Linked DNA regions of Tamandua tetradactyla. The main gene of each other region encodes a partner of the protein of the gene in region 4 in a complex. Links are inferred from orthologs where the notes say so. Each region holds a gene or a part of one and is shown on either strand. Other genes may lie near its edges. The genes, in order: MED18, MED7, MED13L and MED4.

The links.
Region 1: MED4 (region 4) and MED18 share a complex: the UniProt entries of both Homo sapiens proteins name them as parts of the mediator complex. The link is inferred for Tamandua tetradactyla from reciprocal best matches to the Homo sapiens genes MED4 and MED18.
Region 2: MED4 (region 4) and MED7 share a complex: the UniProt entries of both Homo sapiens proteins name them as parts of the mediator complex. The link is inferred for Tamandua tetradactyla from reciprocal best matches to the Homo sapiens genes MED4 and MED7.
Region 3: MED4 (region 4) and MED13L share a complex: the UniProt entries of both Homo sapiens proteins name them as parts of the mediator complex. The link is inferred for Tamandua tetradactyla from reciprocal best matches to the Homo sapiens genes MED4 and MED13L.

The regions. Positions count from the first base shown.
Region 1 is NC_135328.1:197,874,014-197,881,018, forward strand, and holds the start of MED18 (mediator of RNA polymerase II transcription subunit 18), read right to left. Parts: upstream 3,024-7,005; 5' UTR 2,904-3,023; exon of another isoform or gene 2,778-2,903; intron 2,189-2,777; 5' UTR 2,117-2,188; coding exon 2,044-2,116; intron 1-2,043. UniProt on the Homo sapiens protein: Component of the Mediator complex, a coactivator involved in the regulated transcription of nearly all RNA polymerase II-dependent genes.
Region 2 is NC_135346.1:38,235,679-38,242,665, reverse strand, and holds the start of MED7 (mediator of RNA polymerase II transcription subunit 7), read left to right. Parts: upstream 1-3,970; 5' UTR 3,971-4,080; intron 4,081-6,987. UniProt on the Homo sapiens protein: Component of the Mediator complex, a coactivator involved in the regulated transcription of nearly all RNA polymerase II-dependent genes.
Region 3 is NC_135331.1:16,692,199-16,699,041, forward strand, and holds the start of MED13L (mediator of RNA polymerase II transcription subunit 13-like), read right to left. Parts: upstream 3,007-6,843; 5' UTR 2,939-3,006; coding exon 2,867-2,938; intron 1-2,866. UniProt on the Homo sapiens protein: Component of the Mediator complex, a coactivator involved in the regulated transcription of nearly all RNA polymerase II-dependent genes.
Region 4 is NC_135330.1:110,209,826-110,217,144, reverse strand, and holds the start of MED4 (mediator of RNA polymerase II transcription subunit 4), read right to left. Parts: upstream 3,021-7,319; 5' UTR 2,981-3,020; coding exon 2,856-2,980; intron 2,827-2,855; exon of another isoform or gene 2,376-2,826; intron 2,362-2,375; exon of another isoform or gene 2,197-2,361; intron 1-2,196. UniProt on the Homo sapiens protein: Component of the Mediator complex, a coactivator involved in the regulated transcription of nearly all RNA polymerase II-dependent genes.

The DNA.
Region 1 (7,005 bases), on a different chromosome or scaffold from region 4:
TAGCAGCACAACCTTCGTTCATAAGTATACACCATTGGTTGCCAATCTACTTCTCTATCAGTGCATCTTCTGCCACCTGCATTCATCAGGCATCATGTAGAAGGCCCAAAGTTCACAATCCATCAACATTCTCAATTTTAGATAATTTCATTGTTTCCAAGAGACAGAAAACCAATAAACACACCCTTGCCAAATAGGAAATCTAAATCTCCTCTTAACTCTTGTCCCTCACCCCATTATTTACCTCTGCTGTTGCTGTGGCAGTGCTGATGGCTTCCTTTTGAACATAGCTCATCGCATGCAACAGCAGTTTTCCCCTTGTAACCTGGACTTAAACACTCTTTATACAAGAATCACATCTTTGAAGTAATTCTTATGAGAGCTCATTCATATTTCTAGTGTGAATCAGTGGGACACGTAGGTCTATACCACCCCTTTGAATCTTGATCATCTTCAATATGCTAACACTACTTCTAGACCCATTAGAGAATCACCTTCGCTCCTATCTATCCTCTTACATTCCTCAAACATTTTAAATGCTTAACAAGTGCTGGTTCATTTAACATATACCTACTGAAGGCTGTGCCAGACACTGTGCTAGGCAGTAGGAGGCCCTGCCCTGCAGAGATTAGGGCTTAGTAGTGAAAACACTAAAACACTAAGTAAACAAATTAACAGAAATACAAAGAAATAAAAGAGAGACGGAGTAGAGAGCAACTGGTGGGGATGAAGGAAAGAACTTTCTGAGGGGGTGGAATGGTCAGAGAAGGCTTTTCTAAGGCAAGAGACAATTGACCTGAGACCCAAATGATGAAAATGAGAACGTCATTTGAAAGCCTGGGAAAAAAGTATTCAGAGTAATTTTGAATATGGACTAGGTATTACATGACATTAAAAATTATTCATTTTGTTAAATGCTAATGATGGTATTGCGATCATGGAGGAAAATATGCTTTTTTTTAAGAGATACATATAGAAGTGTTAAAGGATGAAATGTTATGATGTCGAAATTTTCTTTAAAAATATCAGCAAAGGAAAACAAATGAGGCAAATATGGCAAAATGTTAGCATAGCTAGATGATGAATATGGAATATTCAGTATACTAGTCTATTTTTTTATCTTCATATTTTTTATAATTTTTTTTTTAAAGATCACCGGCTGTTGTATGACAAGGGACAAGAGAGGAGCAAAAGAGGAAGGAACATTAGAAGCAGAAGGTTAGTAAAGTAGGTCAGACAAGAGATGACAAACTAGGGCAGTGGTATTGCAGGTGGAGAAAAGTCATATTTAAAATACATTTTGTAAATAAAGTAAAAAAGACTTAGACTGGATGAAGGAGTAAAATGAAAAACAGATTTACTCCTAATTGCTTAGCTTAAGCAACAGGTAAATAAGAGGGCCACTTACTGAGATGTAGAAGAAGGAAGGAGGAGCAAGTTGGGAAGTAAAAATAACCCTATTCCCAGCCTATTAAGTTACTGAATGAATTATCTGATTTAAAGTCTAAACTCTCCACTAAACATTATATGACCTTCTGAAAATCATTACCTTCTCTGTTCATATCCTGAAAAGGGTCTGGATTACACAGGTGAATGCATTTGTTAAAATTCATGGAATGTCCACTTAAGACTTATGTACTTCATTGTATATAAATTTTACTTCAGAGAAAATAACAAATTTTGAACTCTAATTTTATGCATGCTCAAGTACTTAGGAGAAAATATACTGAGGTCTTCAACTTACACTGAAATGCATAAAAAATAATATGGACTGATGGATGGAGAGATGGACAGATACATAATAAGGGAAGTATAGTAAGTGAAAACTAGAATGAGGGTAGCAAATATACAGGGGTTCACTGCAGAATTCCTTGAAGTTTTCTGTATGTTTTAATTTTTTCATAATAAAATGCAGGGACAAAAAAAAGGTGGCTACGGAGTGCCAGAAACTGCAGGCTGCTTTTGTATTAACAGTCTCCCATCTCCAGGGAAACTGAATAAGATAAAGGGAGACAAATCATCCAAGTTCTCTGGTTCACTTACCTTGCAGCAGGTACTCCATCATGTTAATGGTGCCCCCAGTGACAGGCATCATGGTGACTGGAGGAGCCTCCATTATGTCTGACTGATTAAGTCAAAGACAAAAGAATCAGACTCAGCCCCCAATCAGGTAAGGCACAGGATACACCTGAGAAGAGTTAGAGTTGTTTATACATCAGTGATGGAGAGATGATGGGTCTGCTTGCGTAACTGGCCTTAATATCAAAAGATTCATCAATTTTTTTTTGGTAATTGCTATGTTAGACAGGTCTTTTTTCCAAAAATTGATGATACAGAAATATACAGGACTGACCTGCTCCAGCATAATGTTCTCGTCCCAAGTTCTAAATCCTCCAAAACCTAGCTGTGTAATCTTGAGCAACCTCTCATGCTGGACTCAGTGTCTTCCTAACAGTAATGAGGCAAACGATACCTGACCCCCAAGTCTGTGTAGCTCAAATGACATAATGCACGTACAATAAAATTCAAAAGAACTAAATTTTAAGAAACGTTGTCTACCCTTCCTTTTACACACGAAAATACTGAAACCAGGAGAGAGGCCCGAGGATACAGAGCAAGTCAGTGACAAAGCTCAGGCCAGACTGAAACCCAGGGGTTCTGCCTCCTAGACACTGAAAGCGCCTTTTAAAGTGAGTGGGGGGGGGGGGGGGGGAAGCGAAGTCCTTTTAAGATGAGGTTTACTCCTAAATTGGCTTCCAGAACACGTGCCCACTTACCCACTTACACTAGAAATACAACTTAGCGGGCGCTCTGGCCTCTTCTCGCAAAGTCAGGAATTACAGCCACCCACGCACCTCGGAGCCTTTAAGCACAGCTCCAAGCAACTTCCAGTCCCACGTTACCTAAGCAGGGAAAGCGCACGGCCAAGCACAACCACAGTAACCACTCTTCTTCCCGCTTCCGGTAGGACGGCAGACGTCTACCAAATCCCTCAATGTACGGGTGCCGAGAGGGCACGAAACACCGTCTTCCGCTGTGCAAGCAGACGAGCATGCGCAAGATCTGATGCTGTTGTATGGAAGATGGCGGCGTTCCTATGGGAATGATCCGCGGTCGTGACGTCATTTTTTTTCCAAGTTCGACGACCTGGAGAGGTTTTTATGTAGGAAATCTCCTGGGGCTGATAGGACTGAAAAAAGAAATCATGCCTAAACTTTGGACTCAGAGCAATGCTTCTCAGAGAGGAAAAGAGAACCTGGGGAAGGGAACTGCAAAGTAATGAGAGGAGAAGGGGAGAATGTTATAAAAGAAAGACATTAAAAAAAAAAAAGCCATTTTTGGGGGGTTACCCAAGGGAGAAAAATGAAGACGCCACTGTTATTCATTACTGAAAACTTTTATAATGTTCTTCTCAATTAGGGAAGTCAGTAATACACTTAATGTTTGTTCACTTTTCTTTGTAAATGTATGTTATACTCAATATAAAAATAAAGGGAGATAAGTAAATTCAACAAATACTTATGGAAAGCTGCTTTTATATCAAGCACATAAGATGAGGGCAGGGCCGGGACCAGGGTGAGACCTGTGAGGCACTCTCCTGGGGCACAAATTTGAAAGAAGTGTAAAGACAAAAACAAAAACAAATGACTAAGCGATAAAAATGATATTTTACAAAGTTAAAGCAAAAAATCCATAGTTAACAAAATATCAAAATTTAAATTTTAATCCTCACAGCATCCTGTCATTTTACAGGTGGGAAAATTTAGGCAATGAGATGTTTATTAACTTTCAGGGAAGGAGTGAGACTTGAATACAAATCTAAGTAGCTGACTTCAGAGTTCACACTTTTACTACAGTATATTGTCACTCTAGATATGGTTCCCCTACACTATCTACCATTCTTTTTTTTTCTTCTTCTTTTTTTAAATTGGGAGTCTTCTGTGTTCTAAATATTCTGCTACTTGTTGATTTGACTCCATTTCTACCCTCAGAAGAGTTTATAGTCAAGTTGTCGCTATTGGAGAATTAAACTAAGGAGACAGCACCATGTAACTTGATAAAATGGGTAAATATAAAGTAGCCCAGCTGCTTTGGAAGCAAGCAGGGTACTTGACCCATCCTGGGAGGATCAAAGGGGGTACCCTGAAAGAGGTAATTAGTACTGGATGAACTTGAGGTGATGTTGCAGAGTTCTGGGAGTTCTGAGAGGTTGAGACCTCAACCAGCGGCTGGCTCCGTGAGGGCTGTTAACTCAGTCACAAGAAAGAATTTAAGAGCTAATCAGTATGTGCAGCCAAAAGCTTAATAAACTAAATGCCAGACAGCCTGGGGAGTTCTCAGCTGGATGCTGGAGAGCCCCAGGATTTCTCAGAGACCTCATCCAGGACCTGACATGATGCAGGTTCTTCACTGAGCCACAGGAAATAATTTGAGGACTGGTCAGTGTTTAACTGTGGTAGTTTGAAACTGTTATGTACTCCAAAAATGTCATGCTCTTTTCCTAATCCAACCTTGTGGGGGCAGACATATTGTTTAGGGTGGAAATTTTGAATAGATTGTTTCCATGGAGATGTGACACACCCAATTTTGGGTGTGACCTTTTGATTAGATGGAGATGTGACTCCACCCACTTCAGGTGGGTCTTGATTAGTTACTGGAGTCCTTAAAAAGGGAGACATTTTGGAAAAGGACAATTGCTTCAGAAGCAACTTAGACACAGACCTTTGGAGATCAGGACAGAAATAGCCCAGGTGTTAAATAAGAACTCACAGAAATAGCCAAAACCTGAAGAGAAGAAATCTCTGGCCCCAGGAGATGCTAAGCTAAGAGGTGAGACCCAGAGTTTTGTCCCAGAACGAAGTATGATCCCACAGACGCTTAGAGAGGAAGCAACTGGAATCAGAAGCTGGAAGCAATGAAACTGAGAACAACCAGCAGATATTAGCCACCTGCCTTCCCATGTGACAGACATTGACCTTTCTTTGGAGTCAAAGTATCTTTCTCTGGATACCTTAGAACTTCAAACTTGTAACTTAATAAATCCCCTTTGAAAAAGCCAATACATTTCTGATAAATTGTATTCCAGCAGCTTAAACAAATTAAAACAATAGCCAAAATGTTTAATGACTAGCGAAAGTGCACCCTCAAAGGGGGTGAGCATAGGTGTTCTCCAAAGGAGGAGAGCACTCTGAGATTGGGACTACTACATTATAAGACTTAGAGGGGCCCTTCCCCTTCTATTAATGTTAATAAGGAATTGATGAGCTGCACTTTTCTTTGGTTCTTTTCAGGTGCTGACCTGAGTGAGGGCTAGATATGTGCAGGCCAAGAGGAACGGGTCCCTCCGCCCACCCCTTCCCTTTCCAGCTGCCTCAGAAAATTAAATAAGAGTTGGCCAGACAGTGAATGGCAGAAAGGAAGTTCCAGGCAATGGGAATATTATGTACAAAGGGATATCAAGTTAAGTAGAATTGGTACATAGATAGAATCTATGGAAGGGGTAAGAAAGAGTCTGGAGAAGCAGATAAGGCCCAAATCCTGGAGGACTTTGTATGGCAGGCTGAAAAACAGATGTGAATTTTAAAAAGATCACAGGGGTTGCAATATGGAGAAAATCTTTGGAAAGGAGACCAGTTAAGAGCTATGGATCAACTCTAGCTAAAAGAGTACTCCAAGAGAGAAGACAGATTTAAAAAATATAAAAGGTGTAATGATTTGATGACTAAGAGATAAAGGCAGAGAGAGAGAGGAAGGAGTCACAAATGTCTAGTTTCTACCTTGGGTGGCCATGGCAATTCTTTTCTCTGAGCTAGGAAACACGGAGAAACGTGAGTGGGTCAGAAAGATGAGTTCACATGTATACACATTGAGTATGAGTGTTTATGGGGCACTCAAGTAACAATGTCCTGCCAAAATTTAGGGGAGAAAGAGCTGGGCTAGAGGTAGAGTGTTCATAATTCTTGCCTTATAGATCATAGATGATGGCATGAGAATGAATGAGATCAACCAGGAAGAGTGTGTAGAAGAGGAGAAGATGGCCAAGGACTGGCCCTTGCATAAGCCTCTTACAGTTATTAAGGCTGCATATAACTCAGGATTTAAGATGCACCCCTGACCACACTAGTGATTCACAAGATTGGTCTGAGTGATAAATTCTCAATGACAAAATGACTGGAGGAGGATGTAAAAATACCGGGCCTCTCCTTTCCTATTCAGACACTAACTTCAGAACAGAAAGACCAGTGAATTATAGGTTCTTTGAGGCACCATAGTATTTATCCCAAAGTTTAGTTGGCATTTCACAGTAGATGACATTTGGTTAAATAATTTTTTTTAGAGGGATGAATAAGAACTGGGTGAACATGGGCAGGCCACGGTGGCTCAGCAGGCAAGAATGCTCATCTGCCATGCCAGAGGACCTGGTTTTGATTCCCAGTACCTGCCCATGTAAAACAAAAAACAAACAAGCAAACAAAAAAATGGGTGAACAATATGGTAAAATATAGATGAGGCCTTTGAGTTATAGGGATGGGTTTCTTTGATAAGATATAAGACTCGTTGATTAGAATTGGGCTCAAACCTGCCACTACCACTATCCTGCTGTGCAACTTTAGGCAACTTACTTCCCTTCTCTGAGCCTCAATTTCCTTTTGAGTAAATTGGAAATAATAATAGTAGTTTATAAGATGAAGTTTGTAAAAGTAAAAGGGCATAATGTTTATAAAGTATTATTTATATACTTTATATATTTAAAGTAAACATCTCAAGGGGAGGAATCCCATATTTCTTTATACATGTTCTCAAAAATTATGTTGATCACAATTATTGAGCAGCTGCTACATGCTAGTCATTTTATGCTATATAGTTATAAATCTTGTAAATACTACTAAAAGCTAGATACACCTTCTCCACTTTATAGTGAAGGAAAAAGAGATTCACAGAAGTAAAATGACTTGCCTGAGTCCACACAACCAATAAATGATGTTTACAATCTATGCAGAGATG
Region 2 (6,987 bases), on a different chromosome or scaffold from region 4:
CCATCTAGAAAAATGGGCAAAAATTAAAACAATTAACCGAAGAAGAGCTACGGATGACAAATGAGCAAACGAAAGATGCTCAGCATTTGGGAAATGCAAATTATAGACACTACACAGCTATTAGAATGGCAAAAAGTAAAATAAAAATGACAATATAGAGTGCAGGGGAGGATGCACGGCATCTGCAACTCTCATACATTGCAGGTGGAAATGAAAACTGACTCAGCCACCTTAGAAAATAGTTTGGCAGTTTCTTATCTATTTACACACACACATTATAAGTCTCAGCAATCCCATTCCTATGTAGTTACTCAAGAGAACTGAAAAGTATATATTCATACAAAGACTTGTTCATGAATGTTTATTACAGCTTTATTCATTATCATCCCAAACTGTGGGTGACAACCCAAATGCCCATCACCTGGGGAAGGGATACTCCAATTTGGTGCATACAATGTAAAACTCCTTAGCTATAAAATGAACAAACTGCTGAAACATACAACATGGATGCACTTTATACTAAGCGAAAGAAGACGGGTTTTAAAAATCTACTTACTTTTTTATTCCACTCACATGGTGCTGTGAAGAGGCAAAGATATAAAGACAGAAGTCAGATCAATGTTTACCAGGGGCTGGGAGAGAAGGGAGAGGATTGACTACAAGACAAGAAAGGGATTGTTTGGGGCATGGAATATTCTACATCTTGAGTAGTGCTGGCCGTGGTTTCACAACACTGTGCATTTATGAAAAGTCATCATATTGTACACTTAAAGTTCATTTTACTCTGTGTAAAAGATAGCCCAATAAATTAGCCTTAGAAAAAAAATCAACAGAGTGGAGGAAAACATTTCCAAGTATCTTCGTTTGTCACTTAGTCTCAAATGATAAAGAACAATGCTCTTTAAAATGTGCCCAGCTCCTAAAACAGGAAAATGCTGTTAGTGCAGACCCAGTCTGTTTCTCTCCCCTTATCTCCTCCCACTTTTCCCTCCTGTGTCTCCAACTCAGGAGGTTCATGACTGCCTCAAGCAGTCGGCACCTGTGGTACCCTGGATCTTTGCATGGTGGGTTCTTTGTGACATTCGTGTCTCAGCTCCAAAATCACCTCCTGGGAGAAGCTACCCTGATCATCCTCTATAACATAACCAACCCCAAACCCACATGGCCATCACATTAATCTATTTTACCCCCAGTACTTATCACTATCTGAAATTTGTGTGATTGGTGTCTGTCTCTCTACTCGCAGGCAGGGCTTTATCTTTTTTTATCCTTAACCTTCTAGGAAAGTGCTTGACACAGTAAACATGCAAAAAAAGATCCACTTATTATTAATTACATTCATTGTCAAGTTATATGAGACATTTTTAAGGAATAAACTTTGCATTTAGATTCTGGAAATATCACCACGCAAAGAAATGTTTATTACATGCCGTATTCACTAGCCCTTCTCATGACGTGAATTTTATTCATCTGTAGCTTATTGGAAAGAAGGTAAGACTAAGGGTCAAGCATCGGGATCCTGCCACTAGCTGTAAGACCATGCATCATTTGGCCCATTAATTCCATTTCTAGGAATTTATCTCCAGGAAAAAAATGGGACCTATGCACAAACATATAGGCATCAGGCTGTTCATGCAGTGCATTTATAATAGCACAATTTGAGAAGTAAAAAAAAAAATTGTCCAGTGAGGCTTTGGCTAAATAAACTGCAGTATATTAATCAATATCACACTGTGAATTCCTTTAAAAATGATGATTACATTCATTTTGTTATCTATTCAATAAGTATTTATTGAGTGTTTGCTGATTTCACACACTGTTGTTCTAGGTATTGAGAATATGCAGTGAATAAAACAGACTCTACACTCCTGAATGTTGTATTTTGATGGGGAAGACAGACAATAAAAAATAAACAAGTACACTAGACAATATGATTTCAGATGATAATTTCTGTGCAAGAAGGATAGCACACAGTAAAGGGACAGAGAATGACTGGGCATGTGCAATTTTATATAGAATGGCTGGGGAAGAACTCTCTGAGAAGGTTAGATTTGACTAGAGACCTGAGTGAAGTGAGAGGATGAGGCAGGTGAACATCTGTGGAAAGAGAGTTCCAGGAATATCAGTGGCCTGAGACTGGAGTGTGCTTGGCAAGAAATCAAGCTACTGTGACCGAAGATGAGTGAGCCTCGAGAAAAATGGTCAGAACTAATATGTAGGAGAAAGTCAATGACTAGACTTTGTAGTGCCTTGATATGAAGAGAAGCCTTGAAAATTTTTGAATAGAGGAGTGACCAAAATCTGTCATTGATTAAGGGAGGTCAAAAAGTGGAAGCAGAAAGCCCAGTTAGGAGGCTATTACAGGATGGTGGCATGTACCAGGATCTTAGCAGCAGGAATGGTGGAAAGCAGGCATATTTAGGAATCTATTTATTTTCACAATAGAACGAATGTAAAATGCTGGTAGTTTGAACATGGAGTACGGGAGAAATAGAGGAGTAATGTTTTCATCCTTTGCAATTGAGTGAACAGTCAAGATGTCTAATACTATGGGATATGGGCTTCTGGAAGTTATCAGACTAAGAAGTAGTTTGAGAACTGAGTCCCTGGGCAATCCAAATGATCAAACAAATGTGTCAAATGCAGCTGAGAGGTGGGGTAAATGAGGCCTGAGAATTGACACTAAAGGTGACTAATATAGGCCACTCTGATATCAGCAGAGGGAACAAAAGCCTAACTGAAATTTGGTAAAAAAATAAACAAATTTCTTCAACAAATTGAGGTGGGGAAAAATCGAGTTGGAGGAGGGCATGTAGATTAAAAAATTAGTTAAGAGGCACAGCCAACACAACCAGCAGTCCTTGTTTGGATCTTGAGACAATTGGAGTTTGTCTCCAATTAAAGAATTATTGCTAATTTATTTTTAAATGAGATAAAATGGTTGTGTTTTAAAAAATAAGAGTCCTTATCTTTTCAAGATGCATGCTGAAATTTTTACGGATGAATTGAAGTAACAACTATGGGTAGGTAGGTCATTGCTGAACTTAAACGATGAGTACATGAAGTTGGTTTATACTATTCTTTCCACTCATGTCTGCAATTCTCCGTTGTTTTTAAAAAATCAACTACCTTATTTTTGAAAGGATTAAACAGAACTTTTTTATCAGAAAAACAATCTTATTTTCTTGTGCAGTCTATACTTTTATGATTTTCATAAAAGTTACGAACTTGTTCCGTTTTCTGCTAAAGTAAATCTCTACTTGGAAGTATTATTTGAAACGGTAGTCTTGTAAGACTCCCACGAATTTATAGGAATTTGTGGTATTTCCTGTGAAAATAACCTCCAAAATAAATCTTCAATTCTGATATTTTTAATAATTTGTATTTTTTTTTGGCCTGGAAATATAATAGACACCTCTGAATTCCTAACTGAAAATAAATGTGAATGGATGGTGAATAATATAATGGACATTATATTTGCACCAAATAAACCTATCTTCCTTTGGCCTCACACAGAAGTTGAAGCTTTAAAATAGACACCATATGATCACCATATAAATGGACATTATATTATTGATTCCCAAGCACGTTCATAAATATTTTCAGGTTAAAAAATCATAAACAGCATAAAGAGTCCCATCTCATTTTTATAAACGTTATAAGCGTTAGAGGTGACACAATTTTTAAACTATATGCTTAGGTGTGTTTTCTAATTTCTATGTAAGGGATATGGTAGCCTTGTTAAATTTTCAAAAAAATTTAAATTTAACAACAACAAAAAAGGAACAGAGCGACCAGCCGCTGCCACCACCGAAAGAAAGTTGGGGATATAGAGACGCAAACCCGCATCCACACCCGGTACTCAACTTCGTAACTAAAAAGTCAGGCGAGGCGGGGAGTAAGAGGGGTGAGCGCAGGCGCAATAGGAAGCCATCTGAGGCGGGACTACAATTCCGGTTAAAGGACAGCTCTTGCAACCAATCAGAGGGCAGCACCAGTGGCTTCTTCCTGGAGAAAGAGGCCGGAAATCGGATTTGGGCTGCGGTGGCGACGGCGTTGCCAGTGTCAACCTAGAGCTAGGTGAGTGGGCGGTGACCGCTTTAGGCTCGGGTATGCGCGCCTTTCTCCTTCCGGACCCCGCGGTTTCCTCAGGGCTGGGCTGGGAATGGGGGGAGTCCTGGAGAGGTTCGGCCTCCGAGGACGCTTGCTCGGCTTCCTCTCGCTCTTCCTTCGGGAGCCCGCGGGATGGCCGGCCGGCCGGGAGCTGTCTTCGGTGTGGCCGGCTGGGCACTTCTCGGCGTGGGGAGGTCGAACCGGTCTGGAGGTTGGGAGCCCTGGGTTCTAGCCTCAGGTTTTCCAAGCTCAGTGGGCTTGGGCGAGTCATTTCCTCTCCCCGGCTTTTTGTAAAATGGGGTCTGGAGCAGTTGTGAAATCAGCTGAGTTAAGGGAAGGGGGTAGGCATGGGGAAGGTAGATCCATCCATAACCACAGATTGGCCTGAAGACATTTTGAAAACCATCTTCAAAGTGGTCCTGACCACAGTAAGCCTACTGAGCCTTATCCCTGGGGGCGGGGCCCTGGAATTCCTGGGTGAGGGAGAGAGAGAGTGTGTGTGGCTGAAGTCCTCCAGAACCGGGCAGATACCAGAAGGTGAATCTTGAGTCTGAGAACCGCCTATGATGCGTGGCGCTTGTTTTACTAAAATAAATAAGACTCCCATCGCCCTCGAAAGTTATCTAGAGTTGATAGAGAAATGAATATAGTTTCTGCACGTTTCTACTGCACAATTAGAAGCGTCATAACTTATTAAGAGAGCTTGGGCTTGGGCTAAATAGAAGTGGGTAAAGACTCCTTGCTCTGCCATTTAATAGCCGTTTAATCTGGGACAAATACTTTCCCTCCTTGAGCCTTGGGATCCTCTCTCTAAAATGAAGTTGATAATGGTTCTTAACTCATAGACTTTTAGGAAGATTAAATTAGAGAAGATATGAACAGTGGTACCCATCATGCTGTTGGCCTTTGGAAAATGGCAGCTGAAGATGCTCAGGAGCACAGGACAAGACTCCTAATCTAAAAACAATCTTGTGTGTGATGAAACCCAGGCTGTCTAAAATTTTACTTTGAAGTTTCATATCAATGATAATTCCTTGATTTTCCTAATTATGCTGTGGTTACAAGAGAACATTCTTGTTAGGATGCTTAGTGAAGTGATTAAGGGTAAAGAGATGAGAGACCGATTAAGCAAAGAAGGAAAAGGCTAACATTTGAAGAATGTTCTTCTGGGTGAAGAATACAGGGAGTCCTTTGTACTACTCTTAAAACTTTTCTCTTAAGTCTGAACTTAAAGTAAAAAGTTTTAAAAATTGGTTATAAATATTTGCAACTAGCATAAGCTTGCCGTAAATAATTAAAACACATCTATAAAGACCCTTGTCACACACGCAAGCCCCTTTTTCCTGAATGGATTTATAGTATTGTATAGATGTGGATTATTTCTCTTTTCAAATGTGCTGCATTGAATATCCTTGTGCAGTTGCATTTGTGTATTTGTAGTGGTATTTTTATAGGATCAGTTTCTAGAAGTGGAATTGTTGGTTCAAACTGTATTAGAGTTTTAAATTTTCATATTGCCAAATTAAACTCCAAGTTTATACTGGTTTCCTTTCATAAGTGGTGTTCCCATATTTTGTTGGATTGTATTGGCCTGCCATCTCAGGGAGTTAGGCAGTGGTGGGGATGGTGGCTTCTGTGAGAGCTGAGGTGAGTGAGTTCTCCATCTGAGAACACTTCCTTGCTGGGATAGAATTAGCAGAAAGACCTTCCAGAAGTTGTTGCATAGATGTTCTTACGTTTGATGAATGATGGTTTTATTTACTTGAAAAAATGTATTGGTCTGAACATTTTCTCACTTTTACTTCGCATTTGCATTATTCTCTTTGTGGGTTTTTTTTTTTCTTTTGGGTGTGTGGGCCAGTAATTAAACCCTGGTCTCCTGCATGGCAGGTGAAAATTCTACCACTGGAACATTTGTGTACCCTGTTTTTTTAAAAATATTTTTACTGACATATTTTTGCATACAATGAGGTCCATTGACATATAATTAGTGGCTCACAATGTATCACATTGTTTTGTACTCATCACCATGATCATTTTTAGAACATTTACACCACTCCAGGAAAAAAAAAGAAGAAGAAAGAAAAGAATATGCATCCCATATCTCTTACCTCTCCCTCTCATTGACCAATACCTCTCAATTGGTATTGCAGTCTACCAATTTTTTACCCCACCCCACTATTATTTGTCATTTTTTGCCCATGTAGTTATGGTGTTTGAATAAACTTACCATACAAGTTAAATTGGATAATGCGCTAACAAAATATAAATTTTGCACCAAATAAACCTATCTTCTTTTGGTCTCACACAGAAGTTGAAGCTTTAAAATAACACCATATCATCCTTTACCCTGTATTCTGATTTGCCTTAGTCTTATCCAGATCAGCTTCATTCATATCTAGTCGAAGTCTGATCACTTTATCAACTTTTTTGACAGTTCCTTTGTGGGGTAATGCTGACTTTCATAGCTTTAGAGCTCTAACTCTGAGTCTCAGGTGTCACAGAAATACCTGAAGTTCCAGGGAATGACCAGGTTATACACAAATAGCTCAACATCTCAGAGTTTAGAAATAACAGTTGCAACTCTGGAATACATGGTCTGCTGTAAGAACTTACGATCTAGGAGCCTTTACTGTAGGCCCCAGCCTAATGACCCATGCTATCAACTTCAGTTCTCCAAGACTATATATATAGTTTTTTTCTTGATTTCCTCCTTAGATTGCTCACTACTAGTGTATAGAAATGCAACTGATTTTGGGATGTTGGTCTTGTGCCCTGCCACATTTCTGTACTCACTTATTAGATCTAGTAGCTTTGCTATAGATTTTTGGGGGGATTTTCAACATATAGTATCATATCATCTGCACACACTGG
Region 3 (6,843 bases), on a different chromosome or scaffold from region 4:
AAGGTGGGGAGAGAATTTAGGAAATTTGATGGCAGATGGTAGAAATGTAAAAATCGGAAAACAAAATCAGTAAAGCACTGGCAGAAATCTTAAGGCACCTAATTGCGCAATCAACTTTTGCTAAGCCACAATGAACCCCTCAAGGTAACTGAAAGTGGGTGGGTCATTACTGTGATACAGAACTTTAATCTCTAGTTTATATTTCAATCTATACCAATGAGTATCTAGGTAAATTCACTATAAACAACTCTGCTCAAAGAAACAGCAGACCAAAAGAAAAAATATGCTAGTATCAAGCATATAAAGAGTTCTTATAAGTCATGCTTTATTTTGAACAGGAAATGAAATCCCCTCTGGAATTATCAACTATCATATATAATGTATTAGGGAACTTATTTTTTAATACTTTATGTTGTTGCTGCATGTGATTTTCAATGAAAATTCTTAATTTGGAATCAGAAAAATGTACAATAATAAAGTTTTTTTTAACTGATAATTTTTAAAAATTAGCACCCTTTATGTACAGGGAAGGCAACAAATAGACTCTCTAATGTCTTAAACAAATCAACATACCCATTTCTGTGGTTACGATTTTAAAGTTACTACCTGAAAAGTCATTCTTTAAAAATATACATATATATTAAAAAATCAGTTCCTTGTTTAAAAAGATTTAGGGTAGAAATACCCAAAGCACAACCTTTGGTTAGACATTACAAAGTACAGAATCCTCTCCTATAAAACTATTTGTTTCTCCAAAAGAATCTCAATCTTTTCTCTACATGACTCTCATTTAAAAGATAAAAGAAGATAAAAGAAATGACACATCCTAGAGACTGCCTATACATATCATATATTGTCAGTTGTCTAAGGAATCTACCATATAAAAATTAGCTACATATACACAAGCCATTAGTCCTCAGCATGATCTATGGTAATTTGGGGGATCTTTCTTCACTAATATTGGCCTATTTGGTTATTTTAATTACCTGTGAAAGTGTCAGTGTGGTCATCCGCTGCCAAACAACACTTTAAATATCCCTTAATCAATATCTGCTAATCTATGAAACTCCCTGGACCTGGCTGATGGTAAATGGTAGACAGAGGGGGGAAAAAAAAGAGGAGGAATATAGAGTTTTATTCCCATATGGTAAAAAAATCTTCTGAGTAAAAAAATCTACTGAGAGTAAGAATCCCTGCATATAACTGAATTTTACGATTAAATATCTGAATAAAAATGCTTGAAGAAAAAGAAAGAAACCTGATCCTACTATAATGGAAGCACAGACACTATGTCACTCAGTCTTTGTAGGTTAAAAAAATCGCATGTGTTGTTTTCTTTGAGCTGCATAAATACTGTAACATATTTAATAAAATAGCACTTCCATTTGAAAAGTTGGCATGAATTTGCATTTCTTCACTGGTCTCAAAGAAAAAAAAATCTATGCCACCCATAATTAAATATAACTAATTACACTTTGAACACTAAATTATTTATCCAGTATTAACAAGGATTAAGAGGAAATGATGCTTCTATTTACCACAGAGGTTACAAAAAAATAATTTCCAAAATGAATGCTCTCCAAAAAGCAGTCACCTCAAAACAGGGTACACAACTTAATATAAGTTGGTTTTTGTTAAGGCTAAATTAAATAAATCCTTTAGCCAATTTTCTAATTATATTCTACCCCTGAAACATAATTACCTTACATCTGTTTACAAATCTTTGCTCAATATTTAAACAAATTCGTATTCTCACGGGCACATAGCTATACATACAGTAACTCATGCACAAAGCACATATTTAAAGACCACGCACTGCAAATTATTAGCTTAAACGCCAGGTTTAACAATGTGAATGTTTCCAGAGGTAGGTAATACGACCCAATAAAAAGCAAAGATGGCATTTACCACCAACTGTCACTGCCAACACCAGGAAAGAGTTGGGGGAGTCCTACACGTTTTTAATTTCGACGAATCTAGACGCTGTCATCGGGTGCCAGGTTTCTACGAGAACAATTGACACCCCAACTGCTTCAAGATTAAGGCGATTCAAATCCGAAGGAAAAGTTGTCAATTATCAGAGAGAGAGCGAGCGAGAGAGGCCAAGGCAGATAAAAGCGATGTTATCACACCGCTCAGCTTGTTGCTTTTGTGTATGTGTGTGGATTCGTTGTTAGGACAGAGAAAACAGTTTTTAAAAGACACGGGAAGAAAAAAAAGAAAAAGCCTTCTCCACCTTCTACCGGCTCGGTGCCTTGGCTCCAGTGTAGTAAGCCCCGAGAGGCAGGCGGCTGTCGATGTTTACAATCTCAGGAGCTTCGGTGGCAAGAGTCCTTTACTGACACAATCGCATTCAATCAACTGCTTTCGGGCGAAATTGCAGGTGTCATTACGGAATTAAAAAAAAAAAAATTCAAAAGGCAGGCGAGCGGGCAGCCGATCCGACTGGGGCGAAAAGGCTGCTTATCTTCGGCGCGGGCAGCAACAAGGCAAAGCCTTCCACACTTAGGGAAAAGGGGGGAAAGGGGAGGGGAAGGGGGGGTGTGACTGCAACAGAGGGTGGGCGTTCGAAGTGCGACCCAGAATCCGCAGCTCTGAGACTTCCACATGCAAATTCCACGCCGAGCGCCGTGCTCACAAATGATTTTTAAAGAGCCAAATAAACACTGGATGGGATCCAAGGCGAGGAGAGACGATCCAAAAGGGGGAGAATCGACGAGAGGCGAACGGCGGGGAGAAATGCGGGAGGGGCGAAGTCGCGGCGGCGGGAGGAGAAAGTTGGTCGGTGGCGGAGGTCGGCGACTGAGGTCGGGGGACCCCCACCCCCACCCCGGCACGACCCCCTCCTCGCAGCTAGGCTACTCACCAGCGAGAAGAGGTTGGAGTGACAATCCTCCAGGCTCGCCCCGTTCGCCACCCAGTTCGCTGCCGCAGTCATGATCCTCCGCGAGCCCGGCCGCCAGAGCGGGGCATGTCGGAGCGAGGCGTCCGAGGCGAGGCCGGGCCGGGCGGCGGCGCCTCGCCGCGGAGCGCGGGGCGGCCCGGCAGCAGCAGCAGCCGCAGCCGCAGCCGCCGCCGCCGCCGCCGCCGCCGCCGCCGCCGCCGCGCTGAGGGAGGGCGGGAGGGCCGGCTGGCGGGCGGGAGGGAGGCGCCGCAGCGACGCCGCGCCGGGGGCGGCGGGCCCGGGCTGGCGTGGGGTGGGGGGGAGGTCCGCGGCGGCCGCGCGGCTCCTTCCTGCTCCGCGGCGGCGGCGGCTTCGGCGGCGGCGGCGGGGGGCGCTGTCCGCGCTGCCCGGCGCCCTCCCCGCCTCTCAGGGCCGCCGCTGCCTCCCGGACCGGAGATGCGGGCCGGTCGCCGCCTCCGCCTTCCCTGCTCCTCAGCCGCCGCCGCCGCCTTGTTTATCTCCAGCCACCGACTCCTCCTCGGCCCCCGCCGGCGCGTGAGGGGTGGCGGGCCCCGGAGCCGCCGCCGCCGCCTCGGAGCCGCCGCCGCGGAGCGCGAACTCGCGAAGGGGGGGGTGCGGACGAAGCCAGCGGGCGACCCCGGCAGCCGAGCGACGTCCCCTCCTTCCTCTTCCTCCCCCACCCCCCCCTCCTCCCCAGTCAGCCTCGCTTCTCCTCCCTCCCCCGGCTCGCTAGCTCTGACAGCAATGGCGGCCGCCGACCGCGGCTCGGCCCGCCATTGGCTAGCGCTGCGGCACGTGACGGGCGCCGGCCGCGCGGGGGGGCGTGCGGGGGCGGGGCCCAGAGCGGCGGCGGCGGCAGCTCGCGGGAGGCGCTGCTGAGCCGAGTGCGGCGGATTCTCAGGCCGGGAAGAGGGAGGGAGACGGAGAGCCAGAGAGGGACAGAAAAGAAGTGCTGGCGGCCCGGCTTCCCAGCTCCCCAGCTCCCCAGCTCCCCAGCGAGGTGCACCCTGCCGACTTGAGGTTGCCGTGGGCTGCCCCGCGTAGGCGCCGGGCCCCGCCCCTTCGGGGTGCTGAGATCTTTGCGGAGTGCCCCGGGGTGCTGCGGGGCGCGACCACGGACCCCGGAACGCCCGCTGCGGCCGCAGTGGAGAGCACGGGGTCCCCTCCCTTGTGACCCGGCCTCCCAAACCGGCTGGCGTGGCGGAAGCTAGCTGTGAGCCACGCCGCGAGTCCGAGTGTTCTGGCGAGCGTCTCAGGGAAAAACCTGACTCCGGAAGGTGGGTCTGCATTTTATAGATGAGAAAATTGAAGCACAAAGAAATTAAGTCACTTGCCCGAGGTCGCACTACAGGGAAAAGGAAGAGCCGACATCGGAATCCAGGCACCTCGCCCGGGATATTCACAGCTGCCGTTTACTGAGCGCTTACTGTATACCAGGTACTAGGCGTTTAATACATAAATGCTTCTTGAGACCTCACTGCTAGGCACTGTGTGCATCCATTCATTCTTATTCATTGCACAAAAGTTTCCTGAGCGCTTGCCATCTGCCACAATATGTTATAACTGATTTCCCCACTTATGTGCCAGGCACTGTGCTCAGGCTATGTTGGGAGCAGACCTACCCTCCTGACTCCATTCAATAAACGTTTCCTGAGACTGTATAGCTTTGGAATTCGGTTGGCGCCAGTATGAATAGTCTCTGTCCCAGTCTTCAAAGTGTGCACTCCCTGCAAAGGTGGGGAGGAAAAAACTTCACTAATATGTCCTCAAACGTGGAAGAGCTAGCTCTTTCAAGGAGACTAGACTAAAAGAGAGGAGAGAGTTGGAAAGGGGATTAGTTAAGAGGTGAACTGAGACTTGGAACTCTCCCAAACACTGCTAAAGTAAAACCCATGAGCAGCATGTTATACTACCTGTTATTATCACAACTGACACTATGTTACAATTCCGCGGACACTGTGTTATGAAGGATGTGCGTACATTATTTCACATGATCCTCATAACAACCACATAGAGCAGACACTTGTTATTATCCTTGGACTGTAATAAAGTGAGGATCAGAGGTATGCAGTGACATCTCCAAGGTATCTCAGTTAGTGAATGGCAGAGCTGGTTTCAAACCCAAATCTGTTAGGCTCCAGAGCTAGGGCATGAATCCAGGAGGCTCTGTGGGCAGATGCTAGACCAGAAGCCAGGTGACTGCTGGCCTGGAGCTGGCTTTGCCTCCCTGATGATGTTGCTTTAACCAAAAGAATTTAACTCTCATTTCTAATCTGTCAGAGATGGATCCTAATTACTGATCCACCAACCTCAGGGCAATGTCGTGAATGTATATTAAGATTACTGGTTTTGAAAGTTTAGAAAAAATGCCAAAGCAGTTTGTCAACATGCTTGGTGTTACTTAGGCCTAAACAATAAGATGGTACGACAGTCTACCCTTATTCACATTCCATGTACTTACACCCCAGATGGGCTTCATCCTACACACCTACCTGGTTACCAAGCGCTCATTCTTCAGCAATTTAAAAAAAAAAATCTCACAGAGCAAAATCCAGTATTGCAGAATAGGAAATACATACGACTTTTAAATGTATAAAAAGATGCTCGACCTCATTCATCATAAGAAAAACAAATTAAAACCAGAATAAGTATTGGCCATATTTTTAAAATTTAGATACATGTTGAGGGAAGCAAGGCTCTCCTACATTTTACTGGAAATATAAATTGGCACCACAGCTTTGGATGTTGATTTGATGAATATCAGATTTTAAAATGTACATCCCTTTGACCCAGCAATTCTACTTCTAGGAGTTTATCCAACAGATAGACTTGTACAGAAGCACAAAGACCTGCAGTGCAAGGGCATGGCATTGTTTGTATGGTGAAATCTAGAAACAATGTATGTGTTCATCACTTGGGAAGTGGTTAATAATATAATCTCAAGCAACCACTAAAAATACCCAGTTAGCACTATGTGTACTAATATAAAATAATTTCAGAATATATTCTTAATAGCGGTAACTCTGGCAGGTTACACAAGACACTATTATCGGTTGCCTCTATGGAGGGGGGACTGGGGACCTGGAAGTCGGTGGGAAGAATTACTATGCTTTTTGCATTTCCTTTTCTTTTTCTTTTTTTAAACCAAATGCATATATTACCTATTCAAGGCAGTATGTTATAAACAACAACAAATAAAAACCTCATCCAAGGAGATTTCTTTGGCTGTCGAAGCCAAGGCACCAAAATGGGAGAAAAAAGGCCAGAAGTGTGGAGTGTGGTTGCCCTGGCAACATGAGTACAGAAAGAGAACCCAGGGGAATCCGATTCTAGTCCCAGGTGCACCCCTGAGCAGCCTGGTGACCTTGGACAAGCTACTTAATCTCTCTGGGCCTCAGTTTCCTTCTGGGTGAAAAAGGGTGGCCTGGGTGAGCCTTAAGGTCATTTCTAACAATGAATTTTTTTGATTCTCTGCACAGTTGAGATCACTGATTAAGATCTGCAGAGTTCTTTCTCAATAGAGAAAGCAATGGGAGTTGACGGAAGGCCTCAGGAGATAAAATTAAAACAAAAACAAAATCCTCAATTATCTAATAGGAAGTATTAAAGAAAGGAACTAAGCACCAGGGCTTCTAAGTGCAGTTCCCTATGTCAGAGACACCTCTTAAGCATCCTCGGGACTTAGTTTCTCCATTTGTGAGAGTGCCTTTCCTAGGCAGGAAACAGAAATTCTACTCAGCACAGGTCTCAGGCCGCCTTCTGAGAATGACAGGTTAGTTCCTTTTCATGGTTACCAAATGTAATGGCAGAGTGAAAATGGAAGCAAAAATATGACCAAAGGAGGAACCATCTATTAGGAAGACTAACCGGAGGCCTCAGCAGCTGCAGAGAGAGCATTTTGTAAATGCTAAAGACGCACCTGGGTTCCACTCTCTGCT
Region 4 (7,319 bases):
AGACAAGTAAATTACGTTACACCAAGTAAAGCTCAGAAAAGTAAAGAATTTACAGGGCTCTAGAGCATAACAGTGAGAAGTAACAGCCCATTCATTGAATGAACCGAAAAGGCAAAGATTTGAAGATCTAAGATGAAGACCTACTCAGAACAAGAGGCAGCGGCAACTATTTCCTGGAGGAGTGCCACTACCAAGATAATATATTTACAGAAAAGTTCATTGGTACCATCCATACCATAAAACTGATTTTAAAAAAAAGGACACTTTAACTCCATGAATTTCAAACTTAACAGTACCATCAAGATTCCTAAGCACAGTTGCTTGAAGTCAACTTTCAGGTTAGAATGCTCACAGAAGAAATAGCTCAAAAGCCATAGTTCAAGCAGAATGAGATCCAGAATTCAAGAAACTGGAAGAACTGGTTTAGACAGAAGCAAAAGAAGTATTTTCCAGCTAAGTATTAGTTGTTCTGAATCAAATGGAATTCAGATTTGTATCAGAACAACATTTGTATCAAAGTATTTAAGAGACTTAGTTTGCTCCAGCAATGAGTTTAAAGTTACATCTACACAGAGCTGTGCTGAGGTTGAGAAAACTGAGTTTTTCAAATGAAGAGCATTTGTGGGATGATTTAGAGTTTAATAACTTAAAAAGAAAAAGAGCACAATGTGAACTAAACGAAGCTTCTATTTGCTGTCCCCAAAACAGTTACCTTATACAGTTCTGAGTCATAAATAATTTAACTGGAAACATTATACTACCAACTCTCAATCTTGTTAGTGTCCTTTTCCTAAGAAATAACGTGGGTCTTCATTCAAGAGGATTAACAAGGAAACTGTTAAGTTCTCCACCACAATCTACAAAACCAGCAAAGACCTAGACAGAAATAGCACTTACATTAAAATGCGTAAACATTTACACCAAGGCAAAACATTAAGACAGCTGCCTGTGCTTATGAGTTTTTCATTCACCACTGACCACAAATGAAGATTCCAACATTGTTTGCCATCAGGCAGTATTCGAGTTTAATACAAACTAAACACTGAATTAAACACATAAGCTACATAAGGACAAATACTGGTGTCCATGTGTTTGAGGTTTTTCTTATATATTTAATATCAGGCTAACCTAGTAACTTGGTAAGTAATATGATGGCAAGAACTAAATTTACAGCAATTTAGTTAGGTATATTTCAAAACACAATACGTAAAATTTATTCTAGAGCTATCAACAAATGTTGGCTACAGAAAAGATGACACGAGCTGGATTCTGAAAGACGAATGAATGATTCACCAAGTAGGAGATGGAGAATGGCAGTGAAGTTGAGTAAGTAGTACTTTTTGAGGGTGGGGAGTACTAATCTTGGAGTGAAGGGTATAGACTGATGTGGTGGTACAGGAGGATAACAGAGTGGATTGAGAGGAGATAGGGAAGGACTGCACAGAGTGAATTAAAAGAAAATAGGGACTTTACACACTGTCAGTGAACAGTCCTGACACCTATTTATATAAGATAAACAGCTTCTCCCTCTCTTCCCCGGGTTCATACCCCTGCAAAAGTCAAATACAAACTCCCCAATCCCTGCTCTTTCTTGACTAATCGCTAGAGCTCTGCCCCTATAACATCACAAATGCACAGTCTCAGGTCCACTGTAACCTTTGCTACGCACCTGCTTGGTTGAGCATACATTCCTGACATGTTCTCCCATGTGAGCCTGCAAGTCATGCCACTCCTCTCTATTCCAGGACTTTTAAGGACTAATAAACTCTTCTTTCAAACATCTCTAGTTATCACTTGTCCTGCTATTCCTGGCTATCTATATAAAGAACCTTACAACACACCTACTTGCACACTAAACTAAGGAACCTGGACTTTACCTCATCGGACAATGGGAACAAACCCATCAAATGTTTTTAAGATAAGAAGTCACAAGAGATGCCTATTTCAGAACGATAACTCTGCTCTTGGGCAATACAGAATAAAGTGCAGAAGCATGAAGGCAAGTAAAGCTGTCGGGAGGATACCTTAAAAAATAGTTGTGACAGCGGGGATGGAAATGAGAGCAAATCTGAGCAACATTTCAGGAGATAGAAACAATACAATTTAACACCCAAGTGAATGTGACTGGATTACGGAAGGCTCCAACTTTACAGTACCATTAAGGGTGACAGAACATGGAGAAAGACAATCTCCTACCTCTAGGCCACACGCTGCACTACATCCACCCCAAACAACTTGGAATTAATTACACCAGCAAGTCGCGCCTTTGTACTTGCTCTTCCATCATCCCGCCGCCCGGTGAGCCTACTGAACTCCGTCCTGAGCAGCCCTTTCTCCAGGGAGTCTTCTCTGACTACCTAGGCATCGGAGCAGACCTGGTCCTTATGCTACAGGAGCCCGCAGCCACGCCTCTGATAAAAACAAGCTCCGCATCGAAGTCGCTGTTCACACGTTTGCCTCTCCCTCTTGACACTGAGCTCCTCCAGGATGGTAACCAGACTCCCGTTCACTACAGCCTTCCTATCGCCTGGCACCCAGGGGGCGTTCCATAAATGCTTGTTGGGTGTTGGAGGACCGGGTGATGTCCAAGACCCAATATGGCTATCGTAGCCTTGGGATTCCAGAGTTATTGTCATTATTCATATGCGCTGATGGGGAAAAGCGCGGCCTCGGATCCCGGGAGGGTTGCGGAGGCCACATCGCGGATACTGGTGCACTGTCGTTGGGGGTACGTGCCGGCGTTGCCCGAGCACGACCCTTCCCGCCGAACTCCAAGAAGCTCATCGCGGGGTTGCCCAGCTCCGGGGTCCACCCTCCCGGCCCTACTCCACCGGCCTTCAGGCCAGCGGCTTTACCTCGACAAGACCTCCAGATCTTCCAGCGCCGAAAACAGCCGCTCCCGCGTGCTGTTTCCGCTGGCCGCTCCCGGGCCGCCTCCGAATCGATCCTTCTCCTTCTCCAAACTCGAAGAGGCCGCCATCCTCCCCAACCGCCAGTAGCCGGCGCATGCGAGCGTCGGAAATGACGAGCTCGGGAGGCGGAAGGAAAGGTCACCGAGGCGAGGCGAGGGAGAGTCCTGACCAGAGCGTCCCCAAGGTGCCCGGAAGTACACTGTGGGTTTTGGCGCCATCTGCTGGACCAGAGGGGATCCTTGGTCCAAACCCGACCGGCCAGAGCGGTACCTTAGTGAGAGTACGTAGGGTTTTTCCATCGGGAGCTGGAGATTTTGGCTGAATGGAAATTAAATAATCGCCTACTGCTTGTGTCAGTTTACTCGTGAAATCTGCATGCCTATAATGCTCTTCTAACCCTCCATCCTTGCCTTTCGAGGAGGCTGTTTCCGCAGAGGCTGGGCTCCTAAGGATTTCTTGAGATGGCTGTTGAGTAGAATGAATTAGTATAATATGTCAGTAGTGGTTAATGAGAACCGTTTACATGAAGAATTGGATCACACATCCGGTGAGCTCAATCAGAACCCAAAGCCAAAGCCGAAAATCCACTTTTGCCCACTTAAGTCTCAAGTAGCTCACCTCTCCTGGAGACAACTGTGGAAAAGGGGATTTTCCTACCAGGGAAGCTTAAAGCTGCAACAGTTTGGGGAGTGAGGACCCCATACCAGGTCCCTGTCATAGAGATGTCACCTGAAGACTTCTGAGAGTAAGGCTGGAGTATTTGCAGGATCATGGCCCGTCCTTTTGGAAGTACTGAACCTGACTGGCACTGTGCACCCAGAAGTGATGCTTCCTTTGGGGATTGATGCTAAATAAATTCTCTCGCTAGTAATTGCGGTATAAACCAGAATGCCAATTTATTTACTTATCGGGAAAAATAATAACGCCTTAGAGAATCCTACACGGGAAACCAAATCATCCCCCAGAATGCTGGTTCATGACCTTGGATGTGTGCCAGTTTGAAAGGATTGTGTACCATACAAAAGCCATGTTTTAATCCTGATCCATCTTGTGGACCAGCCATTTCTTTTAATCCCTATTCAGCACTGTAGGTTAGAATCTTGGTTAGATTATTTCTATGGAGATATGACACACCCAATTGTGGGTATTACCCTTTGATTAGATGGGTATTACCCATCTATTCCAGCTGGGTCTTGATTTGTTTACTAGACTCCTTTAAAAGAGGAAACATTTTGCAAAAAGCTTCAGAGCCACGAGAAGCACGAGAGCCCATGCAGCCAGAGACCTTTGAAGATGAAGAAGGAAAATGTCCAGGAGAAACTTCTGAAACAAGAAACCTGGAGAGAAAGCTAGCAGATGTCGCCCTGTTCACCATAGGCCTTTCCAGTTGAGAGAGAAACCCTGAACTTCGTCAGCCTTTCTTGAGTGAAGGTAACCTCTTGTTGGTGCCTTAATTTGGACATTTTTATAGACTTGCTTTAATTGGGACATTTTCACAGCCTTAGAACTGTAAACTGGCAACCTAATAAATTTCCCCCCTTTAAAAGCCATTCTGTTTCTGGTATATTGCATTCTGGCAGTTAGCAAACTAGAACAGGTGGAAACAAATGAAGACAGTTGGATCTTGATGAATGCTTTCAACAGGTTTTGTATCTCCCCAGTGTAAAGATATTTAGTGTTTAAGAGACTGTAATATTTGTGTTAATTGGTAGCATGGCTCCTTCCCTAGAGAGTTCAGGAGAGGGACTCCCACCTTTTGTGTTCGGACCATCCCCCAACTTCAGGCAATAGAATAAATTAGATGTAAGCTTTCTTAATTGCAGTAGCATTCTAAGCATGCCTCCCAGAATCTCCAGTAAGTAATTTCTTGCGTTAAGTTAAAGGTGCCAAACTCTTGTAGTATGGTGATTTTGTTTACTTAACTCTGAAAGGAAAATTTTGGTCTGTGATACTGGTGAGCCCTAGAGGGGAGATCTTATTAATATAAGTTCCCACATAAATTCTGGGAGAGTTCCAAATGGTTAAAAATGACCAATTATAGGTCCTACTTTACTATACATTTACTATGCATCGAGGGTCAGTTTATGGTGATTATATGTTTATTGTGAACTCTAAAGCATCTCATATTTATTGCAAATTCATATGCACTCTGAGCATTGCCAACTTTCTGAGAAGTAATAACATCTTCTACAAATGAACTTTTTTGCAAAATATGCAGCTCTAGGTGTGATAAATAAAATACATGTTATTTCATAAAGCTTTCATTTACTGAGTTAATGGTAACTTTGGATGCTAAGCATTTTCTTAATCTATTAAGATTCATAACCTTATAGTTATCCTTGACTCCTCTCCTTTTTTTTTTTTTTTTTTTTTTAATTAACCATTCACCACGTCCAATCCTTCAGGAGATCAAGATGGTTCTGCCTTCAGAATGTGTCCAGGACTTGGCTTTCCACCCTTTCCACTGCTACCAGGTCTATACCTCCTCATCTCTCGACCTCATTTGCTGAAGTTGTCTCCTAACTGTTCTCAGCTGCAGACAGAGTGATTCTCCTAAAGCTCAAGTTTAGATAATGAAAATGAAATGCAATCCTAAATGTGGACAGGATCCAAGAATGGAGGAAAAAGGCTCAGAAGGTCATTACTGGGGCATAAGAAAAAATTGGCATGCAGAGTGTAAGCTTTTTATCAACGCTAAATTTCTTGAACTTGATAACTGCATTTAAGGTGGCTACATAAGTGAATAGCCTTTTTCATAGGAAATGTACATGGAAGTACAATCCATTGGCCCCAGAAGGCCACATGGTCAACTTCCTCACTTCCTCCAAGACTTCCTCAAATCTTATTTCATCAAAGATGCCCACCCTATTTACTATTGCAGTCTGACTACCACATTCCATCATGTTTATTCCTTTTTACTTTTTTCCCATCATGCTTATCATCTTCTAACATCCTATACAGTTAAGTTGATACGGTTTTGCTAATTATGTCTTCCGTTATATGTAAGCTCCAAGAGGGCAGAGTACTTTGTCTCTTTGGCTTACTGACACATTTCCAGTGTCTAGAATGATGACTGACACAAGTAGGCACTAATAAATATCATTGGATTTATTGTTGACTGTGGTGCTGAGATCACCAAAAGCCAGACTCAAATAGGAATAAAAGACAATAAAAAAATTATAATGATCTGTATTTTTGCCTCTGAACAGCAAAACTTTATTCTCAATATTTCCTTTCCACATGCTCCTTGAAGATTCTCAAAAACTCCAAATATTTATAACTTCCTCAACCAAATATGGAATATTCTGCAGCCATGTGGCAGCCATTTTCCTGGGAGCCATGCAACTAAAGAAACATAGACTTTAGTCTATGTAAAGAATCCAAGCCTCTTCTGTTCTGAATGCTTTTCTCACAGCCAGTTCCCTAAGTAAATTTGTAGGCTCATGTTCAAGATCAAGCCTGCCAAGGGTGGGATGGAGAATCAGTCACAGGCATTCCTCTCCCAGAAGTCTGGGCAATGAGAGAAGACAAGCAGGCTGTTGCGTTCATTAGCTTCCCTCTCCAAGAAACAAAAAACCTTTAGACTCCACCTCAAAGTCTGGGTCTCAGAAAGTCTAATCCCTAGTAAAAAATATTACACAATTTAGGATGAAGCTCTAATACCAAGAACCACCATTTATGGTTTCTGAAACCATAAAACACCTCTGGAAATGCCACCAGTGGTTGGGTTTGAGCAAACTGATGGCTTTTAGGGAAGGAAAACCAACTTTTAAATCAATCTCAAGAATGTCTCAAAATGTGCCATTTTAACTGCACTTAATAAACCAGATCATCTCAGTTAAATCCAAATAGGGCAGCACTACATCAGTAGAAGTTTCCTGTCCTCCTTACACTGTGAAATCTTCATCAGAATACTCCTATCTTCCTCATTCCAAAGTCACAACACAACAAAAACCACCCATTGTCCAAAATCACTCAATGTTATTAAAGTCATTAGCCTTGCAGGAAGTGTGGCATTTGACATTGACTCCCTACATTCTTGTGCCTTGAGAGGAAAAACAGTTTAGGTTGAACCTTTCATTGCCTTTAAATATTTGTGGTGTGGTTGCAGTGGAAAAGGTCATGTAGAACTAATCAGGCTTTCTAAAAGTAAAGTCTTATCTCTTCCCTGAAATTCTCTAGGCTTCCTTGGAAACTTGCCACCTCTCAGTACTCAAAGGAAAGGTGGGCATCATCACTGGCCTCTTTTGATAGATTCATTTATTCTTTCAACAGTGTTTATTAAGCTCTGTTTTTATACCAGGTACCACACTGAAGGCTGGCGCTATAAAGGTGAACAAGACAGCAGTTGACAATGCTTCTTTGAGGAGATAGAGGCAGAAACTCATAAGAGCTAAGTGTTGCAGG